Lepisosteus oculatus: one gene and its partners. The protein of the gene in region 2 purifies or fractionates together with the protein of the main gene of each other region. This does not show direct contact. Links are inferred from orthologs where the notes say so. Each region holds a gene or a part of one and is shown on either strand. Other genes may lie near its edges. The genes, in order: sec23a, sec13, mios and sec16a.

Region 1 (7,253 bases), on a different chromosome or scaffold from region 2:
AATTTAAACATGGTAAAAAAAGACAAACTCAAAGGTGAAATTGACTATGAGCGGACAAAAAAAGTGCAGCCTTGCTCACTACTGAGGTGAGGAAATAGAGACATGATGTATATGTGTGCAAGGAAAAGAGATTTCTGAAGACAAAGACAGACCAATAAATTAGGTTCCCGACATGTAATTTGCAATATGGAAAACAATTCACTGGCTCATGCAAATAACTCTTCTCCTCTTCCCCGGAAAACAGCAGCACCCTACCTGTACGACATATTCAATCGTAGAAAACTGGTGCAGAAGCTCCGCTGGTTGGTTCATTTCTGAAATCCCTGCATAGGTTGGAGGAAACTGGAAAAGCAGAACAAGACAAGCACTTAAAACTCCAGCCGCGAGAGAAAATTAAAGATCTTCCAATTTTATCATGTCTGTATTGTTTTCACCTGGTTCCTCTGGTAGCAGAAATTACAGGCCCACAGCTTTGCTCTGTAATCCACTTGACTGGTAACGGAAACAGAAATAAAGATGACACACAGCGCAGTAACGCAGGGAAATACAACGACTAAAAATAATCTGATTCATCACACCACACTCTACCCAGTAGCCGGTCCGCCAGTGCAACAAAAAGACAATAAATGAAGGGCCGAGCTGTTTAGTGACCGCAGAGACGCGGTCTGAGCTTTGCTACACGTTGTCACTGAATTCCTTCAGTCTCACACGCCCAGATCGGCTCTCTCATTAATACAGGAGTGCAGGACCTTAATAACACACTCGGGTTCTTTCCTTTGGTTGGTAAAAAATATCGCCGAGGCCTTTTCAATCCCATTTTTTCTTTTTAATTCTCCGGCGGCTCATACCGTTTTCCCATTGAAACTTGACAGCAGCCCACCTGTTAGCACGCCCCAGTAAAACACCCCCCCCCCCGAGAGCCAAGCCACAGGTTCGCGCCGCGCAGACCAACAGCGAGAGTCAAGGGCACAGCGCAGGAGAGCAGGAGCGGGGCCCTACCACAGCGGGTTCAGAACCGCCCGGCACGTCGCCCGGCTGCACAAGACGGGCTCGTATTGAATGGGTGGCAGGTCCGGGCGCTCCTTGAGGGGGGTCAGAAGGGTGGCCACGGGGACCACCATCCTGGTCGCCTCCAGGCGGCTGGAGGGCCACACGTTCCAGCTGAAGCGGACCCCATCCCGGTCCTCGTTCTGCTGGATGAACTCCTGGAACGTCGCCATGGCGGCCTGTTCGCACTAGGGTCTGTAGGGAGAGAGGGGAGAGAGGCGCAGGGGGTCTCACAGAACCAGAGTAAAGCTCTCAGAGAAGAGAACTGGTCAAGAGGGACACATACACAACGGACAGACCCCGGGACTTTGTCCCAGCCTAAATATCAAGTCCTCATATAAACATACTGCAGTCCTGCAACTTTCCGGTTCTTATGATATCCAGGTCTTAATTCAGGCGGACCACACACTTGGAACAGCTGGTGAAACACTGATTTTGCCAGGCTGGGTGTTGGATAACTTTTGGGCAACTGTGTCATAAATATAACTGGGTTTATTTTGTTTTTGGCCCAGAGCTATACAGCTTCCATGCTATAGGTCGTTTCCCAGATATACAAGTTTATCTTCGCATTTTTAACACTTGAAAACGATCGCCTGGATCTTATGAGAAAATTGTACACAACCTCTCCTACAGCCTTTTCCTTTGAGCACACAGAAACTGAGCTTTCGCGAGCGCCATCAAGTGGAAGATTTAGGAAACAACAACTATAATAATCCACCTTAAGGTTAAAAGTTTTGATGTGGTGGTCATGTAATACACTTTTATTAGCACCGACACAAAAGTCAAATCCAGTCCTGTTTACTTCGGAAAAACGGCCTTAATTCGGTTGAGCTACAAAACCAGACAGAAACGTCTCAGTGATTCGTACTTGAGAGAATAGGATTTCAAGACTGATCTTGATTGATCAAGCAGGCTTCCGTTAAAAGAATTTAAAATATACAGTTGAAATAAAGCCCGTTTCCCCCCAAAAGCAAATATTCACAACTTTCACCGCAAAACAAAATTAAGAATACGAACCACGATACTGGGGAAGTCTTTACAACGAAATCAACCGACCGGTTCAGTTTTTCGGCTGTGCCACGATTATTGATCATCTGAAAATAAACAACCACGGTTCTGCAAAAAGCTGGCAAGCAGATCGGCCTGGCTAGTAAAACACACACACACAATGTCTCTCGTATGGGCTCCAGGCCAGAGATTAACCGGACTGGCACCGTGAATGTCTCATATTGGGCAACTTCGCCAGCTCTGCCTGAACTCTGAACAGACTGCCAACACCGCACTGATTTGCAAACACGCGTGCAATAAAAATACATTAATATCACGCTCAGAAACCCCATTTCCTGCACACAAACCCCTTCACCCCAAACATTACAGACACCGCACCACCACTACCTTCCACTCGGAGAGAAATAAAAATACCCCATGCGTGGCTGTGAAAATAGCAAAGAAAACATTTTTAACATCGCTGCTCGGGGGGGGGGGGATATCGCTCTCGGGACTCCAGGCAAGTCGCTTCAGTTGCAACGCTTTGCCAGCGACGAAAATTAGTGCACACTCACTCATCAAAGAGAAGAACAACAACGATTTCTCCGAACTACCACACCCCCCTCGCACGACCGCCTGGACGAGCTGCGGGCAGCCGGCTGCCCAGCAGCCTTTTCTGGGCTTGAGATGTTCCAGCGCCCCGGCGCCAGCGAAGACGTGCAGCCCACAGCACCACCATCCGCGCCGGCGGCGTTGGTCATTTTCTTTCCCCGGGGCACACTGCCTCTGATAGCAGCTCCCCCGTACGCCTCTCCGCTTTGACACGGTCTTTTCTGTAAATATTTGACTTACCTGCCGAGCCGCACGTCGCCACTCCAGCTCCTCCCGGGGCCAGTGCTGCATCTGACAGCACAGCCCGCTGACGTACCCGACAACATGGCCGCCCTCGCCGCTGCCACGTCAAGGGGGAGCCGCACAGGCTTTTGCAACAAGCCGGTCTGCGTGTGGCTCCCTTCCTCAAGACCCGCCCCCCGCCGCGTCCTGGAGGGCTGTGAATCTCCTTCGCGACTAATTTTAAGGACATCTCTTCAAGAAGGCTTTATTCGAGCGTCAGTACTACATGAACACAGTACAGACTCCTCACCATCATGTAACGTGATGGCCCCTGGGCATTATAACTACTTCCACCTCAGGTTCAATTCTCAACTCACAATGGTTTTTTTTTGGAAATAGATTAGTGAATAACAATGTAAATATTTGTAAATTAACATTGGATTTCACATCAAACTCCTTCCTTGCACCATCACTATCGACTGTACCTGCTCCCTCGGCAGAAATGAAGGTTTGCTCTAGACCTTTACCAAACCCTGAAACGCGTGACAGCAGAAAATTCACGTCCAATTATCAGCACCTACTGTACATAATCCTCCCTTCGAAGCATAAAAAGGTGTTTTGTTACATTACTTAAAACATCCCACTTTCAAGGGAGAATGATGCATTAAGTGTTTTTATGACCTAAAACCATTTCCTCCAAACCAGTTTTTTTCCCTCAATGACCATTCTCCAAAGAGGTCTCGTCAGTCTCCAAGAGATTTCATTCAAAAATATTTTTACAGAAGAACTCAATTTTTCTCTTTAACGAAGAAGAACGGAGCAGAACTTCACAACCCCCCACTCGCAGACCAAAGCGAGCCAATCTTCTGCTCTGCTTACCTCCAGAACTGAATGTGTACAGTAAGTCAACATTTAAAAAAATATTCTACCCCCCCAAATAAGTACACCGAACTGAGAATGCATACCATACAAATTTTATTATACAACACATTTCATGACAAAATATTGTCACAAACTAGTCTCATTTGATGCATTTTCCACTAGTAACACTCTACTTCTTGCAAATCAGCCAAACGTAAAGTTTATCAGATGTAACAATCTGCAAAAACCTGTATCCCAATCGTGAATCCCATGGATCCAGATTAAGACTGCCGTTTTCTTATTAGACAAATAAATCTGTGCATTTATTATTAACCAATTCACAAAAATTGGGAAGTGAATTCTAAAAAAAAAAAAAAAAACGACTTATTCAGCGTGTGAATAAAGACGACATTAAACGCATGAGATTAAGGCTTCAGTATCACATATTGTTGAATCCCATCATTCCTTTCATGTTCCCAGCCGCCCCTTGCTGAAACTGCCTCATCATGGACTGAAGGCCAGCCATCCCACCTGAAGGAAAATAATTTAAAATGTAGCTCTTTCCACTACACAAACGTAACATTTCTAAACAGCAGCCGGAAAACTGCAGATTTCACAATTCAGTCACTCAACCCTTATAAGAACACGAACAAGGACAAACCCGGTTCATCATTTGAATTGCTGTGCTGTCTTACAGGGAAGAGGTAAATGTTCAGTTAGACTTCACGTCTCACCCCACACAGGTACGTGCAAAAGCTCCCTAATGCAATCTGTTCATCTCATCTGTACCAACTGGAGTCAAAGCTCTGTGCGCAGGAGTGTCCCTGCGGACGCTGCGGTGCTTCAGGAGCACGAGGTGACCGTCAGGCACGCGAGAAGACAATGACAGAGGCATACCCATGTGGTGAAGAACCCTGGGGTCCATCATCTTGGCCATCTGCTGATTTAATTTCGCCATCTGGGAAGGATTGACATTCTTGGACATGTCTCCACCTATGAAGAGAGGAATGTACATCAGCACACGCTGCATCTTACTGCAATAAGACTCGACAGGCATCAACTGACTGATAAAAGAAGATGCTGAGACCTACTTAAAGCCGTTTTTAAACAGATGAACTGAATTAGTAATATAGTGCGAGCAGGCACACGGCGCATCACACAGCCGTCCGACAGTGCCAGGGGGTCTCGCCCGCGCACTCGATCGCTAGTCTGTGCCCGTACCTTTGAAGAGCCCCTTGATGCCGCCCATCTTCTTCACCATCTGGGCGAACTTGGTGTACTGCGTCAGCAGCTCCTGCACGTCCCGCGCGGCCACGCCCGCTCCCCGCGCCACCCGCTGGATCCTGGTGGGCTGCTTGCTGAACAGCTTCGCGCCGTCCTTACTGTCCAGCTCTGCCGAGGAGCAGACGGCCCGGGGTGAGCATGCTCTGAGACTGCGGGCGTACAGGGATTCCCCAGAGCTGTGCGATCTGCACTTATGCCCAGTGTTCAAGAAGGCCAGTGGCTAAACCACTCAAAACCATCAAGGACACTAACATGAAGGAAACTTGATCGGGACGATTAGGCTGCTGCGATATCTCTTTAGAAGTGACTAACACTTAGCTGCTGTAGCCAAAAGTTACAGAAATCCCATGGATTCTACTAAAATACTCAGATCGCAGATCTCAGCTGGGATCATAAAACATACTGCAAATTCAAAGCAATTAAAAAAACATTTAAAATACTTTTTTTTTATGGCTCATAAGTATCAAATTCACTTTGATACCTTGGAACCACGTACGATACTTACCTTGATCGTTCATGCTGTCCATGATGGTCATGAGTTTCTTCAGCCTGGCCATTGACTCTTGCTCATTGCCCTTACTCATGAAATCTGTTCCAAAGCCTGGAATCATGCCCTGCAAATAGCAGTTCAGACCTCATTTAGAAACTAAAGAAACTTAATAATCTCTTACTCATAAAGGGCCGAACTCTTATTAATTTAAGACATGTTTCCGAAACTCCAAAAACAGAACACAGCTGTTCAGAAAGCAGTCTCACACAGTGCACCCTGAATTTCCACAGACATTTCACACTTCAAGACAGCTCTTACCATGATCTGGCTGAAAGGCCCCATTTTCATGATATTCTGAAACTGCTCATACATGTCTCTCAGAGTGAACTGCCCTAAGGAAACGAAACAAAAGAACATGATTAAATGCTGCACATAATGACTATTCATTTGTGTCTGGAAAATATCCGCTTATGAAATGAAGCAAACCTTTTCATATATGAACACCACCTTAAGAAAATATCATGTACTTTTTTGTATAAAATTAGATTTTGGTGAAAATACAGGTGTCAAGGTCTCTTGGAAGGGGAAGGTGAGGCTTTATTTCTTTATCGTGACCCTTACTGAAGCTTGTGGTGAATGCTGACTCCTACAGAATGACAGAAGTCTTACCATGTTTAAGCTTGTCTATGAGCTCTTCATTGTCATCCAGTTTTAGCTCATTGACCTTATCTATTAAACCTTCAATGTCTCCCATTCCTGCAAACAACAGAGTAGACATTAATACAGTTAATATCACAAGGCTTCAGTCTCACAACACTGTAAACAAGCCAAAACAAATCATACTCCATGTACAAAAATCACCTATCGATTCTCCTGCAGACACCCTTTCACCTCACCATGGTCTGAAAGGGAAACAATTCCTCCTCGTTTTCATCAGATTTCTGAACCTTTAACTGGGTTAAAAAAACCTCACCTATTGACATCTAATTCCTAACCAGTTACTTCACTTTTTTCATTGTATTCCCAGAAAAATAATTCATACTGCCTCTTAGTGCTGTCTCCATGAGCTCAGGTGAGTAGATGGGGAAAAAGGGCAATACGTACCCAGAAGCTTGCTGATGAAAGGTTGTGTTTTGAATGGCTCAAAGTCATCAATGTGCTCTCCAGTGCCGATAAAGATTATGGGACTTTTGGTAGCAGCAACTCTGAAAAAGGGGGATGGTGAATTTGTGACTTTTCCATGACTCTTTTTTGGACCTCTCTTAGGATTCAGAGGAAGCCACAAAAAAATAAGCTAAACTCTGTGTTTAAAGAAAATGTGTTATTACATGTGAAGAATGAAAAAAATAACAGCAATTTTGATTGCCATTGCAAACAGCAAAAGACACAGATGACATTTAAAAGTCACAGCAATAGCGGAGTTTGTAGTCAAAACTATTGCATTCGGTATCCCAAGGAACCAGCCTGCTGAGCTTCGACAACCACCACACCCACAATGCCAGCAGACAAGCCTGTTGCCTTTGCCGAGATTGTAAATCCTTCTGGATACGAAAGGAGAAACATCACACAACAAGAGTTTCATCTTGTTACTATAAAGACTGGTTACAGATGCAATTCACACAGTTCTACACAAACTTCTCACTACTTGAAGCAGAGTCTTAAAACAAATATTAACAGATCCTAAGCAGGTCATCCAAAGCTGATATGTTGCCTTTCACATTTATGACTAGACTGCAGCATGAGGTCTAAA
Region 2 (7,656 bases):
AAGAACAATTAACATTACAAAACCATACTCCATTCTATAAAAATGTCCATATGCAGCTTTTTAATCCACTATGTTTGGTATGGGCCACTGAGTTGATAATGTACTATAATTCTTACAATCTTAGAGAGAGAAAATAAGTGCCAAATATTGTTTATTTTGCAAGTTTATTCTGGCATTTACACCGTTTGAATTATTTTATATATAATTTCATATATATATATGCTGTTGATCAAGCTACTGCAATTACTATTAAATGCAGTTTTACACAAACAAAATTTTATAAGCTGAGCTTTCTTTTATTGTTTTCATTGTTGTTCTTTAAGGAAAGAGCTAAACATTCTTTGATGATCTTATGGACTCACAACCTTTAACCAAGTGACACTTAAGATTGAGAAAAAAATGACTTAAAAGTCAAATTAAAGGCCCCTTACAGTGTGTGCGTTACTGATCTTCTTGACGTCCCATTGCCCATCCCCGGAGTAAGTGAGCAGCGATATTGCACCATCTGAGCTGCCACAGGCAAGAATCAGTCCGAAGTCATAGGGCCCCCAGCACACCGAGTTTACTTCAAGTACGAGACAGAGACACAGGGCAGCTTTTAGAAGGCAACCATGCACCACAAGTACTTACTGAGATGCAACCACTTTATACACACATGCTTTTATTACATCTCCCTTATCTTATTTTCATAATAGAACCTTCAAGTCTTTTAATTACTCGACATTTAAGACATTACCAAAGATCAATAACAGTATTTAGGGCACTAAAGATCCATTGTCAAGACTAACCCATTTTAATTAAAGTTAGCTTATTCAATATTACTTCAAAGGTCTCTTTTTTGGTTCATTTTGCTAATACAAGTGGCGATTATCCTGTTAAGGTACTGGTAGAAATTTAGCATGTGTACAATGTAAAATCATGTTTTTCTTCTTCTGTAGACAAATGTACAAACATTTCAAGTTCGTGCTTGATGTAAATTCCACTTTTCTGCCACTGTGCATGCAGAACGAGAATTGCCTTATACTTCAACCTGTTATCTTGTCTCTGTCATTCACAAGTAAAGACTGAAATCAAAGGTAACGTTCAAAAGCTAAAACAGGGAAAAGATATTGGTGTAATCGTCTGGCCTATTTGTGGCAATGGTTATATTGCCTTACAAAAAGGTGATATGAAGTTATCATTAACTTAAGAAAAATACCCCAAGTGCTGGACAGCAAATAGAAAAAAAACTAAAATGGTCCGCAAAAAGGTGAAATGCAGCAATAGCCTGTCAGTTAGTCTGTCTACCTGAAGATTCATGGCCTGTGTACTCATACATCTTGTCCCATGTGCCGTTCTCCTCTTTCCATATGATCACCTTCTTGTCATAGGAACAGGACGCTAAAATGTTCCCGTACATTGGATGAGCCCAGGCCACTTGCCAGACTGGCCCTTCGTGACTGTAGGAAAGTAAGGACAAAATGCTTCAGTATTATTATATTTTCATAATCAGCAGAAATGTAAAAAAAAACTAACAAAAGAGGTTCTCAAATGTTTCCATGAAAGGATAGAAGTTTACAGCTACAAAATAACCATTTACACAATCAAAACACAAGTGAGGCACATGGCATAGGAGTGAGCGCCACCTAATTACACCCAGGAGCACAGCCTCTTTAAGGATTGTGCGTGGTTGCCTCATGTAAAGGATAAAACAGATGATTAAGAACAGACACTACCTGACTCCTCTGGGAATAAATCTCCCAAGAAGCAAAATACTTGTCTGAAAAATACCACTGAACTAGTAACGGTGAGAAAACCATCCCAGAACTTACCCTCTCAAATCGGCAACCAGGATCTGACCTCCGTTTTTCACATCAAATATTTTTACAGACCTATCGGACGAGCAAGTAGCCAACTGGGTACCATAGTAGTCCATCTGAGCATCATGCTGGCAAGAGAAAAAAATACATGGCAAAGAAGATAAGGGCAGACAGGGTCAGGTAGTGTCCAAGTGCTGAAATTCTGAAACATAAAACAGCTGGACACCTTCAATTCCTGGCTGCTTGACAAAAAAGTATAGTACAGTAGAAACTTTTAACAACTAACAACAGACAATAACTAATAGAGGACTTTTTAACGAAGTATAACGAAACTGCATTCTTCAGCGATCTCAAACCGCTCAACTAAACACACAACAGTGGTTATTTAGCATTTCACATAATTACGAAAAGCAGTAATACTCACGATCATGTCCTCATGGGACGTGTCCACAGTATTTATAACTGAAACCTAAGAGGGAAAATTGCATAACTATTAATATTACAATGTAGAGGTTACTTATGAAACCAAACCTTTTTTTTAGTATATTAAACTGTGGTTCCTAATGAACAAAGCTAGCAACTAGGCAAAAACAACAATATGACTCTAAAGACGCCGTGCAAATTTATAAAGCGACTGCACGCAATACTGCTATGTATTGTTTTCAATATTTTGTTTACTAATTACTGAAAACATAAATCAATACAGGAATGTCTCTACAATCACAGGTCGGCAGTTTTTCCAAACCTTAGGCGCCTGTTATCTCAAAGTCCAACATCTACGTTTAGACGTGGCGATTGTCGTTTCGTAAATCAACGATTTATGACATTCATCCTCGTCTTTAAACGTGCTTCAGAAATCTAGATATTGCTTCAACTGTTATTGAAGCTATAACCGTAAGTGTAAAATCAAGCATTTTTTTCAATGAATGAGATACATTCTGCAAACCGATCAAAAACTTTAAATGCAATCGCCATCATGAGACTTCTACCAAGGATTAAAAATAGATTTACTCACCATATTTGTGCTGACTACTGTTAAAATGACCGCTCTTATTAAAAACAATTAATAAATTGGATTTATAATATCTCGTTTAGTCAATTTTGTCTCCCGCTCCAGCCGTTTTCCTCTCTTAGACGTGGCAACTCCACTTCTTCTCTAACTCAACTCCACTTCCGGGAGCATCCCCACTCCTTCTGTCGGGCTACAACAAGGAGCGACGATACAGAGTTCCGAGCAAACATTGATACTCTGTTTACAAAGTTCGCAGTCTACATGGCGTAATTTCACATTTAACACAAGTGGCATTATCACAGTTCTTGCAATACATTTTATCGTCAAATACAAACATGACCAAGTATTTCCTTCCAACGTAAAGGGGCGAACAATTGTTTTTAATTACTAAAACAAACCCATTATGTCAAGAGAGCCATACATATTACCTATATTATTACATAGACAAATAATCGTAAATAACCATAGTAAATTTTCTTTTTTAATTAAAAGGTGACGTAAAACTAAAACACTACCTGGAAGACAGGACCGTACTGTGAGTTCTAAAAAGTATGACTTTCTTGCAATAGGCGTTAATACCACTTGGCGGTGCTAGTAGCGAGTCAATTTGTAAGCTATTTATATCGCTGCGTGCCGAGTATCAGGTTTTCCAGTTTGTTCTTACCCTGAAGCGTCACTCTTGTCTCTCCCTCGCCATGTTCTCCATGTAAACTAAAAGAAATTTCTGCTATACTTACTTAAAAGATTGTAGAGTGAATACAAGTTTCAAAGGTAAACTCAAAAGATGGCCAGTGTGACTTATCATATCTCCAACCTACTGGAGAAAATGACATCTACTGATAAAGATTTTAGGTAAGACTGTATTAGTTTGCATGTTTTAATGCAACCTAGAGCATAGCTAAATTAAAGGTGAAATGACATTGGAAATGTCTGTCAGCTGAGCGTCTTACATTTTGCTTCAGTCCATCCTCACATTTTAAGATGGATTTAAGTGTGTGGGATTATTAGCCATAATATTTTTTAAACGTCAGGAAATTTGATATGAATATTATGTGGTACTAAACTTTTTGCCTGCAGTAAAATTAATTAACTTGAAAAATAAACATACAACATTGGTTTATGGAAATGGATAGTTGTAAAACATATTTTAATGTCAGAGTGACTGGTATTATGTGGTCTCTAATTCCACATCTAATTTAGATGACAGTTGTTTCATACAAAGGATAAAATCCTTCATGCATTTTGTTTTCTTGAAATATATTTCTTCTTCTTGTGTATTCATTATTTATATTCATTACTGAAGACAGTTCAGAACCCTTGCCAACGGTTTATAAACAGAGTATTAGCAGACATATAAACCATTTACAACATCAATAATAATGATTCATTGAATTTTTCTACTACTTTTAAATATAAAGGATCCCAAAGTGTATTACATGAAGAAGGGAACCCACTTAACCCACCACTGGTGTAAAGCAGCCAGCTGGGTGACTTGTATTAGTCATTATGCAGAAGAAGTCACTTACACAGTAGATCATTGGAGAAGTGAGAACTATGAGATTTCTATGACTGCTTTAGATAAAAGGACTCCCCAATGTTTCTATAATCCTGGTCATAGAAGGCGAGGGTGTCTGCAGGTTTTGCAGGTCTTTTGAAAGCTTCATCATCTGAAGAGATGGGTGAGATTGATATATTTTCTGTTGAGACAATGATGACGTGATTTAGGTTATGCAGAGCTGCGTGTGGACATCACTGCTGTTACCCCTGTGAACAGTGTAACACCCATCACCTCACTCAAACCCTCCCTTTCTGCTTTTTGGATTTCGCCCCTCGGAGGTCTGGACATCTCAGAAGAAAGTGTCAGGGGCCTGTTGGAATAGTAGTGGTGCTGATTATGACAGTGGTGGGTATCTGCTTTCAGATTCATGGCCACCAATGACTTGATGATGGAGCTCCAGAAAGACTCCATCAAGCTAGATGAAGACAGTGAGAAGAAGGTGGTTGCGATGCTCCTGAGGCTGCTGGAAGATAAGAATGGAGAGGTTCAGAACCTTGCAGTCAAATGGTGAGTGAGCTTAATAAGTATCCACAATCCTTTAAATCCCATACCGCTGACAGGGAATTATAAACAACCGACATTCAGTGTGATTTTCAAAGAGGTTTTTGCTCCAGAGCTGACTTTCTGAAACTCATGTAAACAGTCAAGGTGCAAATCTAACAAGAGAGAAAGCGGTCATTGAAAAGAGTTGTGTTAATTTTCCTAAGAAACAATAGTTGGACTAAATATTAAACTGGAGCAAATTCTAAAAACGTCAAGGGCATATATCACATTCAGGATAAATTAAACCAGTGTATCACACAGAAAAAAAATGTTTGCAATGAACAGACAGCTGTTACTGTTGATTTTTCTGTTCTTTGTTTTGTGTGTTTAAGCTTGGGCCCACTGGTGAGTAAGGTGAAAGAATACCAGGTGGAGACCATTGTGGACACGCTGTGTTCCAACATGCTTTCAGATAAAGAGCAACTACGAGACACTTCAAGTATGGGCCTGAAAACAGTCATTGCTGAGCTTCCTCCATCCTCCAGTGGTAAGAGATTTCATGATCTTATTACGATCAGCTATAATGAAGGTATTGATTCTTTCAGCCATCTGCTGTTCATCCTGATGTCATGGATTTCACCAAAAACTAACTGTGTTAGGGTGAGTGTTACTGCAGGTATTAGGACTGGGGTTGGAGATTTCATAGAGATGTTTGCATACCCAAGATGCCATGGATAATGATGAACTTCCAAGTGAACAATTTGAAATTGTAATTTTGAAAATCCACTGCTCGTTATCAAGTAAATTAATCTTAAAATTTAAAAATCTAAAACCAAACAGTTAACATTTTACTCCAAAAACGTACAGTGATGGAATCTGTAAAAATAATACTACATTTTTCAGGGTCTGCTCTGACAGCAAATGTGTGTAAGAAAATAACAACACAGCTGACATCAACCATTGGGAAAACAGAGGATGTGTCCATACAGCTGGAGGCACTGGATATCCTCTCAGACATGCTGAGCAGGTAGGAGACGTTCACTCTGTGTCACAGAAGTGATTTGTAAATCTTCACTGTAGTTGTATCTTACTTAAATGAAACTTTATTATATTGTCTTCCACTATTTGTTAGTTTTATCTGGCATCTCCACTCTTATCCATGTCTCTGGAATGATTATTTTAAAGCACTGACTAAAAAAATAATTTTTAAAACAGTTTTATAGCACTTACCAGCTTTGCTAGTTCTGTTCTATTAGAGAAGAAAGGTCACACAAAGGCTTTGAAGCAAGGCATTTCCTTAGCTGACTTTTTCATTATTGCTTTAAATAATGATCTGAATACTGTAGGTGGTTATTTTCCTTGATAAAGATGTAAATTACATTCTTCTCAGTCTAATACAGAGACCTTTGAGGCCATTGCCAGTATACAAGTAATGGTGTGTATTTCAACACACTCAGATGCTCTACCTATAATTCCAGCCTGAACCTTGAAACTCATCATCTGCTCTTATTTATCTTGATGAACAGTATTGTGCTAATATAAGCAGTATGCACAACACTGGACCCTGGACGTCTCGGGGGACATTGTCAATTCCTGACCCCATATTCATCTCTTATATCCTTTCTGCCCACAGGCTGAGTGGGACCCTCATGATCTTCCACCCTTCCATTCTGAGCAGCCTGCTGCCCCAGCTCACCAGCCCCCGCCTGGCAGTGAGGAAGCGGGGCATCATTGCTCTCAGCCACCTGGTCCCCAGCTGCAGCAGTCCTGTCTTCACCCAGCTCATGGATCACCTGCTGGCCGAGCTCACCCGAAACGCCTCCACCTCCACCACACGTACCTACATCCAGTGTGTGGCTGCCATCAGCAGGCAGGCCGGCCACAGAGTGGGTAAGACAGCGTCTCTTAAGAGTAAATAAGTTCTTCCAATTCAGGTTTTTATTTTTTGTTAAACCACTTGTCTTTTAACAGATCTGGATCTGAAATGTTTTAATGAAATCTGATAAGCTCTATATACAAATATATGTATACAATGTGTACATATAATAGTTCCTACTAGTCAGTGGTAAAAAAAGGGACAGAAACAAAGATTCTTAAAATAATAATAATAAGTTGTATAATTACGAATGTTTTCATTTTCTCCTTGCTAATAAAACAAACTAAACAAATGAGGAAACATTGTATTGAGATATCACCTGGTACAGAAATATCTGAATTGGAGTACATAGCTGGTTTCAGTAGTAAAGAATCTAAAGTTTAATGGCAGTTCTTAATTCCTTATTGCTTCTTAAGGCTACTTTGTGTTTACACAATCAAAACTAAATGATAAAATTTAACATTCAGTGATGGGACATGTTGCCAAAGCTAGACAACAACTCCCCATTATTCTTTAATTCAGCCACTTTTAGATCACATAATTATTGGCCTTGCTATTTTCTGTAAGCAATTTCCTCATGTGCATTTTATATGCCTTATTACATACTTTCTTAGTGTGATAAAATACAAACTGGGTTGCCAATTGCTATAACTACTTTCTTGTCCTTGTTCATGATTCTTCAGTGGAAATATATAATGGGCTTCACTTACCTACTGAAGTCTATACAATACTGTACCGTACTATATCAAAACATTTTTGATTTAGGAACTGTTATAGTGCTTGACATGTGTTGGAATTAAATGCCATTTTAGTCCTGTGTCACCGTTATTTGCTGCTGTAGTTTGTGTTTGAAAGTACTGGGGAGTTGAAGTGAGGATAACATTGCCAATCAATGTATCATATACAAGGATAACTGTCCATGTTTTAC
Region 3 (7,194 bases), on a different chromosome or scaffold from region 2:
CCTTGGAGACATTCTGGCCAGCATTCAGTCGATGAGATCTGGAGTAACCACCAAATGCCCTGTCAATCTCCAGTGCTCCTCTCTCAAATGTAGATAACAGCAATGTGTGAAGCACAACTTTCCACACCAGATGTAATAAAAAGACCAAATGATGCCAACATAAAATGTTAATTAAATATTAATACACACTCAGGAATATGAACACGGCTAAGACTACATAAGCCATCAATATTACATAAATAAATGTTAAAAAGGATATTTTGTGCTCATATTTCTCAGCTTTCTACTAAACTTTTCTTATCGAAAGTTCAGCAAAGTGTAAAGGTTCAATTTTGCCAATTTGACCATAGTGGTTTACGCAGGTTTATTTATGGCAGGTGTCTCCTTTTTATACTGTGCTTTGTTTTGCTTCCTGACAAGTTCATCTCATAGTGTTTTCATTTATTCTTTTTTCATTCTAAAGCAAATGGGTTGTAATCTGGCTGTGCGTTAAAGCTCATCATTAATGATGAAAAATAATCCATAACTTCAAGTTTCCCCTGTGGTATTACCTGAATGCGGAATCACCAGAATGTGTTTTATATGCGTTAAATACCTGACTGGATAACATGTTTAATTTATTTATGCTCACAAAACTTCGGAAGAAAGAAACAAGTGTCACTTGCCACAATTCATTGATACAGTAGTAATAACAATAGAAGCAGTATTAAAATAGAAATAATCAGAATGAATGGTAAGCTCTTTCATACTGCCATTCCTAAACCGCTTGATGTAACAAGCATTACCTGTTACAATATTGGAACAATTATTCTAAAGTTGTCAAGGTACAGATGCAGATGCATTAACAAACACTACTTTGTCAAGGCTTGCCACCATGTAACAGCTGCACTGCTAGAAGCAAAATTCCCTCACCATTCAGTATGAAATGAGATACAAGATCTGTGTTTTATTTTCAAAAAGACAATCCAAAATATTCGTTTTGTGAACAGATACTAGACAGAGTGCTGGTATAAAAGCTGATTTTTTTCCCAACATTTACATTTGCTTTACTTTCTGAAGATTTTATGAATGTACCCTACTTTAGCTAATGACCTGCGTTTTTTTTAAATAAAATTCTTTCCAAAAAAATATCCTCACCAGGTGCTTTGCCAAAGGGTGATGAATGAATTTTATAATATTCTCAACACTTTTAGTTTTGAGCCTTCACTCCCCGGCTCTTGAAAGAGTGCAAAATGACAAATTCAGAATCGTAACTAGACAGCATCTCCTAACTATGACGAGACTCTCTTCTTTTGGGAGGAAAAGTACTGAGTTTCCTGTGGACACCACAAAAGTAGAGTTTACTTCAGAATCCTCTCTAGAAGGTGATGTGCAGCCGTGCAACTTTCAGAATTCACACTCCCTTTTAGAAAATAATGTCTATGCACTTCTGACCAAATATTTTAAATGTCACCTAAATTTAACAAAAATAAATATTTATAGTCATGTGGGATAAGTATTTGGGAACAAAGGTCCAGAATATTTTTCCCGTGGGACCACGGAATGTGTGATAGAGCAGACGGGGAATAGCAAGAGGACATGTTGAACACACAGGATCTTCAGAGACACGGGAGGCACTTCTCTACACAAAGGGTTGTGGGTGTATGGAACAAGCTACCCCAGGCAGGCAGGTGAAGGTGATACAGTGGCTTTTTTTCAAAAGCAACACAATTAAGTTCTCAAATGAATTAGCTACTAGCAACCTAATGAGATACATTGGCCTGGATCGTCTCTTTGATTTTAATCTTTTGTAGGGTTTATGCCAGCAACTTAAGTATCTTTATGTGCCTTGCCAGGATCGAGCTATTCCAAAATCAGAGAACTCTCGGAAACACTTAATTGCTACCACAGACACTTGGCTTTTGCTATTTTCCACCTCCTACTCCAAGACAGATCTGACAAATTGAAAAACTTTAACTTCCCACAAGAACAAATGACTAAAACTAGAATTTCGTACTAGGAAGCCCTTTTGTGCTTTGATATCTGTTATGCTCATACATCATGAACCCTCCCACCAGAAAAGCTGAAGTTAAAGAAAAAATAGATATAATTTGAAACATTTCCAGAAGCCCTTTGAGAATTATCTTTCCAGATCTGAAAAAACCCCAGGATTTTTATAATGATGTTTTTATGTTGATTTCTAATATACATTACTTAAACATGTTTATCTGGATGTGCGTTAAAGGTCATTATTAATGTTGAAGAATATTCTGTAAGTAACAAAAATGCATCCCTCAAGAAAAGACCCCTGAATGACATAAACAATAGAAAGGGAACATTAGAGGTTAAAATTGCTCTGAAAAAAGAAGTTGTGATGTCTATTTCTGATGAAAACATGACTTGTGTTCAGCGTTGTGTTTTTTTTCTATTTCAGCGTGGAGTTTACTTTCCCTTGTTCCTTCGCTGCTCCGAGCTCTAAGCTCCAAGCAACAGAAACATGCTTATTTTAAAACTAGACAAGGCACTGCGTCTGCATATCTTTCTACACGTCAAAAACAAGTATCCCATTGTAAACATGCGCCTAGATTCTTGTCTCTTGCATATCGTTAACTGAAATCACCCATGAAGAGGAGGATTGTCATAATTCTCTTAAAAACTGTGACGGGAGAACATTTTTGCTGGGGGAGTAATTCGAATCTAATAAAACAAGCCTTTAACACTTGGTGATGAGACACCCACTCCTACAAGTACACACTAGCTATTGCCAGCTCCCAGGAATTTGTGACACGTGATTATTCAAGTGTACACAGTACATGCTGCTTTTGCACAAATTACAGAGTCTAATGATACAGATCATTCAAAAATCTCTTACTACCGGAACAGTTTAACGGGAGGGTTTACTACAGTTGTGCTTTCAAGTGGAAATCACGTGTGTGTATTTTTCAATGAAGCAAGTTTCCTATATCTATTATCATTACGCCAAAAACGGGCTAAAGGAAGGATGTGACACAAACCTAAACTCTGGAATATGATTTTAAAATAGACTAAAGAGAAAAAAACTGTTTCCATATCTTCAGACTTTGATATGGCCAGCAGCCATATCACCCTGCAACTCACATCTGGCAACCCACTGAAGCTCAGCAGGTGTGATGCAGGATGGGAGGTAGGTAGGTGCCTTTTCGGGCCATAAAGGCCCATGGGGGGCAAGGGCTACCATTTTTCTCAAACATCTGACACTGGAGGTGGCAGCATCACACTCCAGCTGGCCTGTTACCCCCAGAAGGATTAACCCCCTGGTACTCATTTGGAAAGCAGGCTGAGTGGACCTGGGAGCCGTCTGGAAGGAATTAGAGCAAGCAAAATCACTTACCCCTACCTGGGGTTGAACCCGAGACCTTCCAGTCAAGAACTAGACACCCTTGCTGCCTGAGCTACCACAGCTCACCGGGATGGGAGACCTCCAGGGAAAAACTCAGATTGCTGCTAGAAGAGGTATTAGAGAGTCCAGCAGGCGGCGCTCATCCCCGCGGTCTTCTTGAGTCCTAGTTGTGGCCTGAGTGACGGGGACACTATACTGTAAAAAGGCGCCGTCCTTCGGGTGAGACGTAAAACTGAGGTCCTGACTCTCCGTGGTCATTAAAAACACAGCGTGTGTCTTGGAAAGAGTGGAGGTGTCCCCCCGTGTCCCGGCCGAATTTGCCCCTGGCCTTTACCAGTCATGCCCTCCTAGTAATCCCCATCTCTGAACTGGCTTCATCACTCTGCTCTCCTCTCCACTGAGAGCTGGTGTGTGGGGAGAGGACTGGTGCATCATCCAGGTGGGGCTGCACACTGGTGGTGGTGGAGGGGATCCCCATTACCTGTAAAGCACTTTGAATGGAGTATCCAGGAAAAACACTATAAGTTATAGCACAATATAATCATAATAATTATTATTATTATTCTCTCTTCTCTTTTCAACATGGAATAAACCTATTACTTGTTCCTTATTATTTTTATTATTAAAATTCACCGACTTGTACAGTATTCCTTATAAGACACATCATGTGTAGAAGAATGCTAAACTACATATATTATTAACATTATACGCTATTTGGTACTTCTTTTTCTTAGATTCACATATTGGGCGTACATTCAAGCGCGATGCGGTAAGCGGCGCTGTATAATTTAACTCGAGTCCTGCGCAAGAACTGCCTGCCACGTAACTTGTTTCCCGGGGAATCATTTTGGTGTAGGACTGTTTTGGTGCCCGATGCTACTTTAATGTAAGAAACAAAAACATCGTGAGTTGCAACTGTTACTTTGTGCGTTTCGCATTTTGTCGCGGTGGCTTATCGTTATGGTGCGCATATAGTTTTGTTAATGGAGAAAGGATTTGCTTTAATTGTTTATTAGCTTGAGCTGCCAGTAGCGTGTTTCAGAAGTTTGCAGATCATTTTGTGTTCACGTGAGAGGTTATGATTCTAGATAGAAACTGCGGTTATAACATGGTTTGATTCAGGTATTTCCTCCCTGCTTCGGGTTGTCCGGATTTCTTAAGAGTTAATATTTCGTGCACGATTCTCTGCAAGCGCGGTACATAGTAGCTGCCGTCCTTTGGTCACGTTCCCTTAATCCAGTCATAAAATAATAATAAAAGTTGGGAAAACACGTTACTTTTCCTAATTTTAGTTGTTGTATTTGTTTCCCCCAAGTGATCCAGTGATGCCTGGATCTTGAGCTCACTGGAGCAGCGGTGATTGTTACTCGCCCAGGAAGATGAGTGCCTCGAAGCCCGATATCCTGTGGTCTCCCCATCACGTTGATCGCTATGTCATCTGTGACTCGGAGCTCAGCTTGTATCGCATCGCGTCGCTGGGGAGCGCGGAGACCAAAGCCGGAGTTCTCCAGCTCTCGGGAGAGACAGCAGCGACGCTGCTGGCAATCAATTCGGACACCCCGTACATGAAATGTGTAGCCTGGTACCCCAGGCCTGAGCCCGAATGCCTGCTTGCGGTGGGGCAAGCGAACGGACGCGTGGTGCTGACCAGTCTTGGGCAGAGCCACAACACCAAGTGCAAGGAATTAATGGGCAAAGAGTTCGTCCCGAAGCACGCCAGGCAGTGCAACACTTTGGCTTGGAACCCTGTGGACAGCAACTGGCTGGCCGCCGGACTTGACAAGCACCGGGCCGACTTCTCTGTATTGATCTGGGACATCAGCAGCAAATTTGCCCCCGAAGCCTCTGTCCCCACCGAGAAACTGCGTCTCTCGGCTGGCGACACCGACGCAGGCCTCGTGGTGACAAAGCCCCTCTACGAGCTGGGTCAAAATGACGCTTGCCTGTCCCTCTGCTGGCTCCCCCGGGACCAGAAGCTGCTTCTGGCCGGCATGCACCGCAACCTGGCCATTTTCGACTTGCGAAACACGAGCCAGAAGATGTTTGTCAACACTAAGGCCATCCAGGGGGTCACTGTTGACCCCCATTTCCATGACCGAGTCGCTTCCTTTTTCGAAGGCCAGGTGGCCATTTGGGATCTCCGGAAATTCGAAAAGCCGGTGTTGACCTTAACCGAGCAGCCGAAACCTCTGACCAAAGTGGCTTGGTGTCCCACCCGCACCGGACTTCTGGCCACCCTGACCAGAGACAGCAACGTCATCCGTCTGTACGACATGCAGCACACCCCGACCCCCCTCGGCGATGAGACGGAGCCCACCATCATCGAGAGGAGCGTGCAGCCGTGCGAGAACGTCATCGGCTCCTTTGCGTGGCACCCATCCAGCCAGAACCGCATGGTGGTGGTGTCGCCCAACCGCTGCATGACGGATTTCACGGTGTTCGAGCGCATCTCCCTGGCCTGGAGCTCCAGCACCTCCCTCATGTGGGCGTGTGGCAGGCACCTGTACGACTGCACGGAGGAGGCAGAGGCCGGCTCCCTCGAAATGGACATTGCCACTAAAATGAGGCAGCGAGCGCAGTCCAGATATGGCCATGACACTGAGCAGATCTGGAGGAACCACCTTTTAGCCGGTGGGGATGATCCTCAACTGAAATCTCTCTGGTACACTCTGTATTATATCCTTTATAGTAAAAAGGGTGATCTGTGACACGCCCGGTGATTCTGTCTGCATCTGAGTCCACATTGCTGTGAGCATCGCTCTGCACTTGAGCATCGCTTGCTTGTCCCTTCCTCTCTGTGTTGCGGTTTTTAATGAAACAGCCAACATTCCCCAGATCACTGTCGAGAGACTGATTGATTGGCTGGAGCTCAGTAATATACCAACTCCCCCCTGCCAGAACCATCATAGTCTCCGATGTGTGGTTTTTCTGTAATATATCCTCTTAAATCCAAATTACAGAGACTGTAAAACAAAGCATAAAAAGTTATATATATATATGTATAATGTGTTACTTTTCTTTTTGAATTGTATTTCTAGGTTCTATTTAATTGTATTTAAAGGTTCAGAGCACTTTTTATTTCAGTGTTAATTTCCTATGCATAAACCACTTATGAAACAGTACACTGAAGACCTGGAACAAAAGAACTTGGGGAACAGATTGCCTCTTGTCTATTCAGGCATAAAAAACATAGTGAAGTCAAGCTCAGGTAAGACATTTTTAACACACTTTTTCACTTCACACCGAATTGGCAGTGTCTTATGATTGAGTTGGTCTCCTCTTCCTTTCGATCTTTTTCTCTAATAGTGATTGCAATAGAACATACGGTTTCTTAGAAGTGCCCAAAAGCCCAATTTAAGTCATTGGCGTTTCATTAAAAGGTCCAGCAGTGTTTTAAAGATGTTACCACAGTGCAGAAACAGAAAAAAACGAAAGCAGTATGAACCTGTGCAGTGAAGTAGCTTAGCTGCCTGTAGATAAGCGTTAGGACCAGATTCTATGGGCAGCAAGTACAATATGATCAGTGTAAGTGTTGAGGAGCTACAATTAAAAAGGTGCATTTTATGTATTGCGTGTGAGATAGTGCTGTCCACATGAATTTTTTCTTTTTTAATTAATTTTATAATTTTTTGTAATCTCTTTCCCCATTATGCTCCGTGCACAGGAAATAGGCCTAGTCTTGCTCTCGGGAGGCTTTGGGGTGTCATAGCTGCCCGTACTCTTCTTTAACACTTCTTTGAAACTATTGGCAGACATTTGAGCTTCAGTCCCATCACACTGCTTTCTATCAAATTGTTGACCAGTGCTAACTGACAGATTGTGGTATCCGAAAGAAA
Region 4 (7,186 bases), on a different chromosome or scaffold from region 2:
ATCTCAGCTGATCTCATTGATTCCTCCATCAAACATTTCCTTAACCTGCTCATGGGGGCTTTCTTCAGGGCACGCATGGCTGCAATCTGAGCATCCGACTTCCTTTAGTTGTGAAGATAATGTCATGTTGGGACGCAGGCATCAAGGGAGAGACCACTTTCCCTTGTTGCAAGCGTGAGAGACAGCGAGAAGAAAACATAGAAGAATTCAGTACAGTACACGGCATTATGGGTTGTAAATAACCAATCTTTGCAGCAACAAATCCTATTAGATCAGCAGAAGTGCTGACCAGGAATGAAAATTCACCACTCTATTACCTCTATTAATTATATAAAACTATCATTTATTATTATGACTAAGCTTTCAAGGAGACTTTTAAACTGTCATGATGGAATGGTGTAATGTTTAAGAATGAGCTACAGCTGCACAGAAATGGGATTATTCACCATTTGCAGCAGAGATGCCCAGTTTTAGATCCTGTTCAGTGGGGTTTACAGGTCTCATCAGCACCTGAAGAGCTAGGAGAACCTCTTTCATCCATCCATTTTCTACACTCTTCTACAAATTCAGGGTCATGGGGGAGCCAAAGCTTATCCTAGCAGGCAACAGGCATGAGGCAGGATAAGATAAGATCACTTTATTGGCCTTATGCAATTTATTGCATTAGGAATTTGTGTTTTCACATACTCCGACTTGCTCTCCATGAGTTACACAGACAGGAAGAGAAGCTTGGGGAAAGAGCACAGGGTCAGCCATTTATACGGCACCCCTGGAGCAGTTGGGGTTAAGGGCCTTGCTCAGAATTCCTCTGCCAGCCACAGGATGCAAACTGATAGCCTTCCAACCAGAAGGCACAGATCCTTAGCCACAGAGCCACGGCACCACCCCTGGGACACTACCTTCAGCAGGGCAAACAGAAAACAAAAACAGACACACACACTTACACCTTGAGCCAATTTTCTCAGAAGCCTATTAACCTACTAGCATGGTTTTGGGCTGTGGGATGAAACCAGAGCACCTGGTAATTCACGGTCATGCCTTTCAGACTGTGTAATGCCCCGGTTACGTTTTAGCAGTTGATGGAGCGAGTGCTGGCATCAGTCCACTAGAGCGAATGCTTTGTGTATCTAGACAACCTACTCGTGCATGCCCAGGGTTTCGAGCAGGCTCTGGCGAACCTCTGGTTAGTGTTGGCTTGCATCCGGCGGGCCGGGTTGAAGCTCAACCCTGGGAAAGGTTACTTTCCTGGGTCATATGGTTGGCCCGCGAGGGGTGTCACAGACCTGGGGAAGATCGCTGCAGTGCGTGACTGACACCATAGCAGAGCTCTGCAGTTTCCTGGGGTTGACGTCTTATTACCCGAAGTTTGTCCGGGACTTTGCCAGCCTCACCCCCCCACTGCACCGCCTTACGGAGAAGGGGTGCCGTTTTGTGTGGGACATGGAGTGTGAGGGGGCCTTCTGGGGGCTGCAGAAGGTGCTAGTGGGGGCCCCTGTCCTGGCCTTCCCAGATCCGACGCTACCATATGTGCTAGATACTGACATGATGCAGGGGTGGGCGCAGTACTAGCGCAAGAGGGTCTAGATGGGGAACGGGTCGTTGCATATTTTAGCCTGGCGCTCAGCAAAGCAGAGAGAAACTATTGTGTCACCTGGAGGGAGTTGCTGGCTGTGGTCTCGGCAGTCTGCCACTTCAAGCCCTACCTGTTTGGAACTAGTTTCAAACTGTGGATGGACCATGCGTCCCTCAACTGGCTGCTAAATTTCAAGGAGCTGGAGGACTGCCGCTACTGCGCCCAGTGGGAGCAGCGTGAGGAGGCCACCCGTGGTTGGGGGGAAGCGGCCATTCGGTATGGACCTTGTGAACCTGGCACAGCAGCAGCGGGAGTACCCCGACATTGGGCCAGTGCCCCATTGGAAGGCAGCTCAGTTGGGAGGAGCTCACCTCTCACACCAAGTCCATGAAGGCTCTCTGTGCTCTGTGGGAGGCCTTAGAGGTAAGGGACGGGGTGGATACCCTCCAGCGGCAAGGTCAGGTGGCAGCTTGTAGTGCCACGATCGCTCTGCGGGGCAGTTCTCCAGGCGGTGCACGGTAAGCCGGGTGTGGGGCACTTCGGCTCCGCGAAAACCCTGCGGTGACTCCAGGGCCACTTCTATTAGGGTCTCTGCCACTGGGATGTGGGGCGTTTCTGCCAGACGTGTGCGGTCTGCGAGGCCCAGAAGGGCCCTCCTGAGCGCCCCTCCAATGGCACCAGGTGGGGGAGCCCATGGAACAAGTGGGGGTGGACATATTGGGCCCATTTCCGGGGACCGAGGTGGGCAACAGCTCCGTCCTGGTGGCAGTGGATTATTTTAGTGGCCCAAGGCTTACCGCCTCCCGAATCAGAGCATGTCCACCATGGCCGATGCCCTGTTGGAGGGAATGTTCACTAGGCTGGGGGTGCTGGAGGAGCTCCATAGTGACCAGGGGTGGAATGTCGAGTCTTAGGTGTTCGTGGGGGTGTGCCAGCGCCTGGGGATTAAAAAAACGTGGACCACCTCGCTGTATCCCCAGAGCGACGGGCTGGTGGAGCATCTTAACCGGATGCTCTCCACTCAACTGGCCACCTTCGTCTTGTGGCACCAGCGGGACTGGGACCGCCACTTACCTCTCACCCTCTGGGCGTACCGGACCGCTGTGCAGGAGTCCACTGGGTGTGCAGGAGTCCACTGGGTGCACTCCAGCCTCGTTCATGCTGGGAAGGCGGGGGTGCAGCAGAAGCGGTATTACAATCTGCGCTGCAGAGGGACTCCTTTCAGACCGAGGGACCTCGTCTGGGTCTATAACCCACGGGGCCGCAAGGGGCTCGGCCCAAAGCTGGCGCCGGCCTGGGAGGGACCCTGGGAGGTCGTGGGGGAGCTCTGCTACCGTGTCCGGCTCACGGCTTGGGAAGCGAGGGAGGGTGGTGGTTCTGCACCGAGACCGCCTGGCTCCCTCCAGGGCTTGCGAGGGCTCACTTGAACGGGAGGGCGCAGAGGAGTCTGGGGAGCAACCAGGTCCAGATTTCACCGTCCGCGGGGCCTGGAAGATTTTGTGTTTAACATAGCCAGGTTTGTTGCGTTGCGGCCGAACAGCACTCGGCTAAGGTGCGCAGCGAAGGGCAGGATGGGTGTATTAACCAGGGCGAGTACTAAGGGAGCCACTGGCCAGTGTCACTGACCATCTGGAACAGGTGTACACCACTGTAAAGGTTGTCCAGATCCCTGCGATCCCCAATTTTGCATCCCCTTTTATACCTGTACCCACTTACCACCCTATACCTACGTACCTGTACCCCAAATGACCCTAGTGTGTTGTACCCTGCTTTCTCTGGTTTTTACTTCCTCTGTTGTTGTTGCTGTGCCGGACGCACGTCCGACTAATATAGCACCGAGTTCTTAACTAATAGAGCTAATTAAGTTCCTGTTTCCATCCTCGCCAACCCCGTCGCGCTACAGTACTTTAGGAACAGGAAAACACATTTACAATGATCAGACTTAGTTAATTCCCAAGAGGCTCAACAGTCCTTTGAAAACACAGACAGACGGTTCACATTATAGATTTGCAAATTTAGTATACTGTATTTAAAAATTGTGTATTTACTGTATAAATAACACAATATCATTTCCTTGCGCAAACGTAGATAATAAAATGTATTTGTTCATTAGCAGATAAATTACATACTTGCTTTCTCATAACAGATTTCGATGTTCGTCACACTATAAGCATCCATCGCATCGCATGAAATAAGGTCTTGAGCCCGGTATTGCCCTGGACTATATTAACAGGGTTGTGTATACACTATGTCAATTATTTTCTTTAAAAAAACGGACTCGGTCCAATTTAATATCTCGGGTTCAGATGCAAGTTCATCTTTTCTTACAAAAACATTACACGTTGATGTACTCTAGGGGCGCACTGTTCGATATAAATCGTCCATTTCCGGTAGAGCTCGGATCGTGCCTCGTTCTTTTCTATTAAAAATAATTATATTTCTTTTTAAATCATTTAGACGCATATGATTTTATTGTCAACAACCAAAATAAATACAATTATGCAAAATTACAACATTAACTGCAAATTGTACATGGTTCAAGGCCTTCGACTGTGACGCCACGGTGTTTGGGATTGTGACGTTAGAGGTACACGTCGCCTAGCAGGATGTAGCTCTGGTTGAAGATGGCGGCTGTGTGTTTGCCTCACGGTTCTGCAGTCTTGTAGGAATTCCTATTTAATTCCGCTTTACTGGCCGAATTGTGTTGTTTCTTTGTCGTCTCCAGGAGGTCGGCGATCTCGTTCTTGAGAGGTAAGATGGATCGAGATGTACAAGCGGTGTGGTGCAGCACTGAGTTCAGATTTGTATAATGGGACTGGGTCGGGATTACCCTAGTTTTAAAAGGCACAAGATCTGTTATTATTCCCCCCCCCCCCGGCAGAAGTGGGGGCTTTAAGGAACTGACAGCGCATCCTGTTAAAGATCTGGTTTGGCATCAGACCATCGATTATCGGCGAGTTGGACATCTTCACTCTCCCCAGTCTGATGTACAAACGGGCTTCGTGAAAGTTCGGCACTTGCCTGTTGCAGACGTTCAGTTAATCATATGTGATGAGTCGCCGATATCCTCTGCTTGTTGACTTTAAACACGACAGCAGCATGTTAACGATTTGCTACGAGTCGCCGCTTTTAACGGCAGGTTTCGCAGTGGTGTTAATTATAAAATTGCTTGAAAAATTTAAATGTTCCCTATTCGATATTGAAACGTTCCTTCCAAATGTGTCAAATAAATAAAGCTGGAGAAGATAGTCCTTTTCGCTATTTTTTAAGATCGCAAGGTCGGGTTTGATCTTAAAAACATTTGAGTATTAATTTGAGAGCTTCTCACTATTTGCTTATTTTTGTGCGGGTGTCGTCTGATAACATCTTAAATTTTGCGTTTGTTGTAGCTCTAGTGAGGAACAGAGTCCTTATGCTTTGGACTTTAGTTTCTACGACTTAGAAACCCGATAGGCACCCTGACTGCAAGTGCGACTTCAGTAATTAAGTTGTATTACAATATTGTAACACACGAATAATAAGGATTTAGAGTTTGGAAACCAAAAAAACGTATAGGTGTTTGTTGTGGTGTTCGATAGTAAAGAATTGAAAATTGCAAATCGCTAAATTAACCATTGCAAAATAACCTGATTCGTCTACATTGTATTGTATTGACTCATGATGCTTTTGAGAGTTATTTTAGAGCAACAGTGCAACCGACGGGCGCCAATAGATGAGGGTGAGAAAGTTAGTCCTAAAGCAGCTCTTTAAACGCTGTTTGTGAGGACTACATTAGCCACAGAAACGTCGCACACCTGAGGCTGACGTGGAATTCCATCCCGTTATTAGGAAATGCAAGCTGCTTCACAGTGTACGCACAACCCAGTGGAGAAATCTATATGTGTGCAGTGAATCCGAAGACAAATGTCTATAGGACTACGAAGGAGGTCTAGTTACTGGTGGTTGAATTTTTTGCTGTGGAAGCCAAAATGATTCTATATAATATTAATTTTCCTGTGAAGGTTCCATATACTTCTTTCATATACTGAAAGAAGTATAATGAGTCACAAGTGGTGGGAGTATGGATGAACCTACCATCCATGTATCTGAGGCTGATATCCTGGCTTCCTTCAAGAAATGGCTGGATGAGATTTCTGATCAATGAGTTACTAACCAAAAGGGTTAGGTGTACAGAATATACACTTTATCTTGTAAGTCACAAACCACTTTCTCTATGATATTTGGAGTATATTTAAAGACGAGCTGCAGTCCCAGTTTCTCAGGCTTGTTATTAAATCTTGATAAAATAAATTCATTGACGGTATAGACAAATTGAACAAATTTCGAAATAAGCACACAATCGTGAACTTTGTAAAAGTACTGAAATGTCGCTGTGCTGTTGCACACCCCTGGTCTTGCTATAGACGAGAGCATGATTTCTCACGAATTGTGACGTAAAGCAGCCCCTACTGCTCCCTAGTCACTGTAATAACTAATGTAATGTGCAAATTAAGCACAGGTTGTGCAGCCGGCATTTCACCACAGAAACTTTCCAACATAATCTGCAATCAGTTTATCAGCAAAACCATCTTGAAGACGAGAGCAGTATTTCTCTTGGATTAAAAGAGATGTATTCACAAGCCTGCTTGCTCACAGTGTAATAGGGCCCCAACACGTCACCAGACGTTTTGTTGCCTTGTTCCAAATCGCAGAATATGATGCTGCGTCTACCTTTAAATTTTATTTTGTGATGTAAATTGGAGGATCTACAAGTTACTGTACATTTTACTTTTATTGTGGTTTGAAGGGCACTGATTTTGTAACCTCAAAATATAAAAAAAACATTGCATTTCCCCTTTTAAATATGTTTTTAAACTGTGCAGTTTAATGTTGAGGTGTTCCTGTTAATCACACAGAATATCCCAGCCTCCTAAATATGCAGTACTTGAAGATCACATACTGTAATTCATGCAGTCACTTTGTTTGCACAGGATCGTGGTCTATTGTTGGTAACCCAGTCTCTATAAAAACTGTCTTAATTAATATTCAGTACATTCCTCAAGAAATTATTAATGATGTCATCATTGCATTTTTGTTGGGTTCAAAGATCCAGCACTCATTTTGCCATGTGATAATGTATCCATTTAAATAAGAATAGAAAGTTCGCTTGCCATTCTTAATGTTTTGCAGCCTCTCTTATTAGTGAAGGGGCAGTCATCTTATAGTTGACAGTTGTAAAACTTGCAACTTGGGAATAAATAACTCAAGGCTTTGTCAACACTGGTGTGACAGATCTTTTGGTGGAATCACTGAATCCCTAACTAAAAAGCTGTAAATCTTAAATAATAATATGGCTTTAGTTTAAAAAATATTGAAGAACTACTGTGGCAAGTGTACAAAATAGATAGATAAGACTTTATTGATCCTGAAGGGAAATTGATGTGTTACAGCAGTCTGGCCCAAGACAAGCAAAAAAACAGACATCGGAATAGAATACAAATTATAATATGTACAGTAATACAGAGTAAATATAAAATAAATACATAGGTGTGTACAAAATATGATCTTAGTCACTGTAAAAACAATAAAATATATGCAAAATGTGCATAGGTATAAACAGATTGAGTGTCCAAA

Evidence for each region.
Region 1: the proteins of sec13 (region 2) and sec23a fractionate together in Homo sapiens (co-fractionation; 3 studies listed by BioGRID and IntAct, with this or other methods). This does not show direct contact. The link is inferred for Lepisosteus oculatus from reciprocal best matches to the Homo sapiens genes SEC13 and SEC23A.
Region 3: the proteins of sec13 (region 2) and mios purify together in Homo sapiens (affinity purification with mass spectrometry; 5 studies listed by BioGRID and IntAct, counting the BioPlex papers as one, with this or other methods). This does not show direct contact. The link is inferred for Lepisosteus oculatus from reciprocal best matches to the Homo sapiens genes SEC13 and MIOS.
Region 4: the proteins of sec13 (region 2) and sec16a purify together in Homo sapiens (co-immunoprecipitation; 4 studies listed by BioGRID and IntAct, counting the BioPlex papers as one, with this or other methods). This does not show direct contact. The link is inferred for Lepisosteus oculatus from reciprocal best matches to the Homo sapiens genes SEC13 and SEC16A.

Annotation. Positions count from the first base shown.
Region 1 is NC_090703.1:4,827,777-4,835,029, forward strand, and holds the start of sec23a (protein transport protein Sec23A), read right to left. Parts: upstream 3,002-7,253; 5' UTR 2,887-3,001; intron 1,243-2,886; 5' UTR 1,221-1,242; coding exon 1,000-1,220; intron 493-999; coding exon 435-492; intron 343-434; coding exon 256-342; intron 1-255. Other genes in the region: signal recognition particle subunit SRP54, read right to left, coding at 4,169-4,260, 4,627-4,722, 4,951-5,121, 5,519-5,627, 5,822-5,895, 6,173-6,259, 6,608-6,708.
Region 2 is NC_090699.1:58,913,196-58,920,851, reverse strand, and holds the start of sec13 (protein SEC13 homolog), read right to left. Parts: upstream 3,015-7,656; 5' UTR 2,818-3,014; coding exon 2,815-2,817; intron 2,269-2,814; coding exon 2,224-2,268; intron 1,928-2,223; coding exon 1,812-1,927; intron 1,440-1,811; coding exon 1,288-1,439; intron 566-1,287; coding exon 432-565; intron 1-431. Other genes in the region: cand2 (cullin-associated NEDD8-dissociated protein 2), read left to right, coding at 3,596-3,663, 4,733-4,876, 5,245-5,399, 5,756-5,879, 6,486-6,742. UniProt on the Homo sapiens protein: Functions as a component of the nuclear pore complex (NPC) and the COPII coat. At the endoplasmic reticulum, SEC13 is involved in the biogenesis of COPII-coated vesicles.
Region 3 is NC_090705.1:3,822,345-3,829,538, reverse strand, and holds the start of mios (GATOR2 complex protein MIOS), read left to right. Parts: upstream 1-4,184; 5' UTR 4,185-4,244; exon of another isoform or gene 4,245-4,262; intron 4,263-4,298; exon of another isoform or gene 4,299-4,321; intron 4,322-4,673; 5' UTR 4,674-4,737; coding exon 4,738-6,034; intron 6,035-6,467; coding exon 6,468-6,566; intron 6,567-7,194. UniProt on the Homo sapiens protein: As a component of the GATOR2 complex, functions as an activator of the amino acid-sensing branch of the mTORC1 signaling pathway. The GATOR2 complex indirectly activates mTORC1 through the inhibition of the GATOR1 subcomplex.
Region 4 is NC_090719.1:5,263,938-5,271,123, forward strand, and holds the start of sec16a (protein transport protein Sec16A), read left to right. Parts: upstream 1-4,171; 5' UTR 4,172-4,324; intron 4,325-7,186. UniProt on the Homo sapiens protein: Acts as a molecular scaffold that plays a key role in the organization of the endoplasmic reticulum exit sites (ERES), also known as transitional endoplasmic reticulum (tER).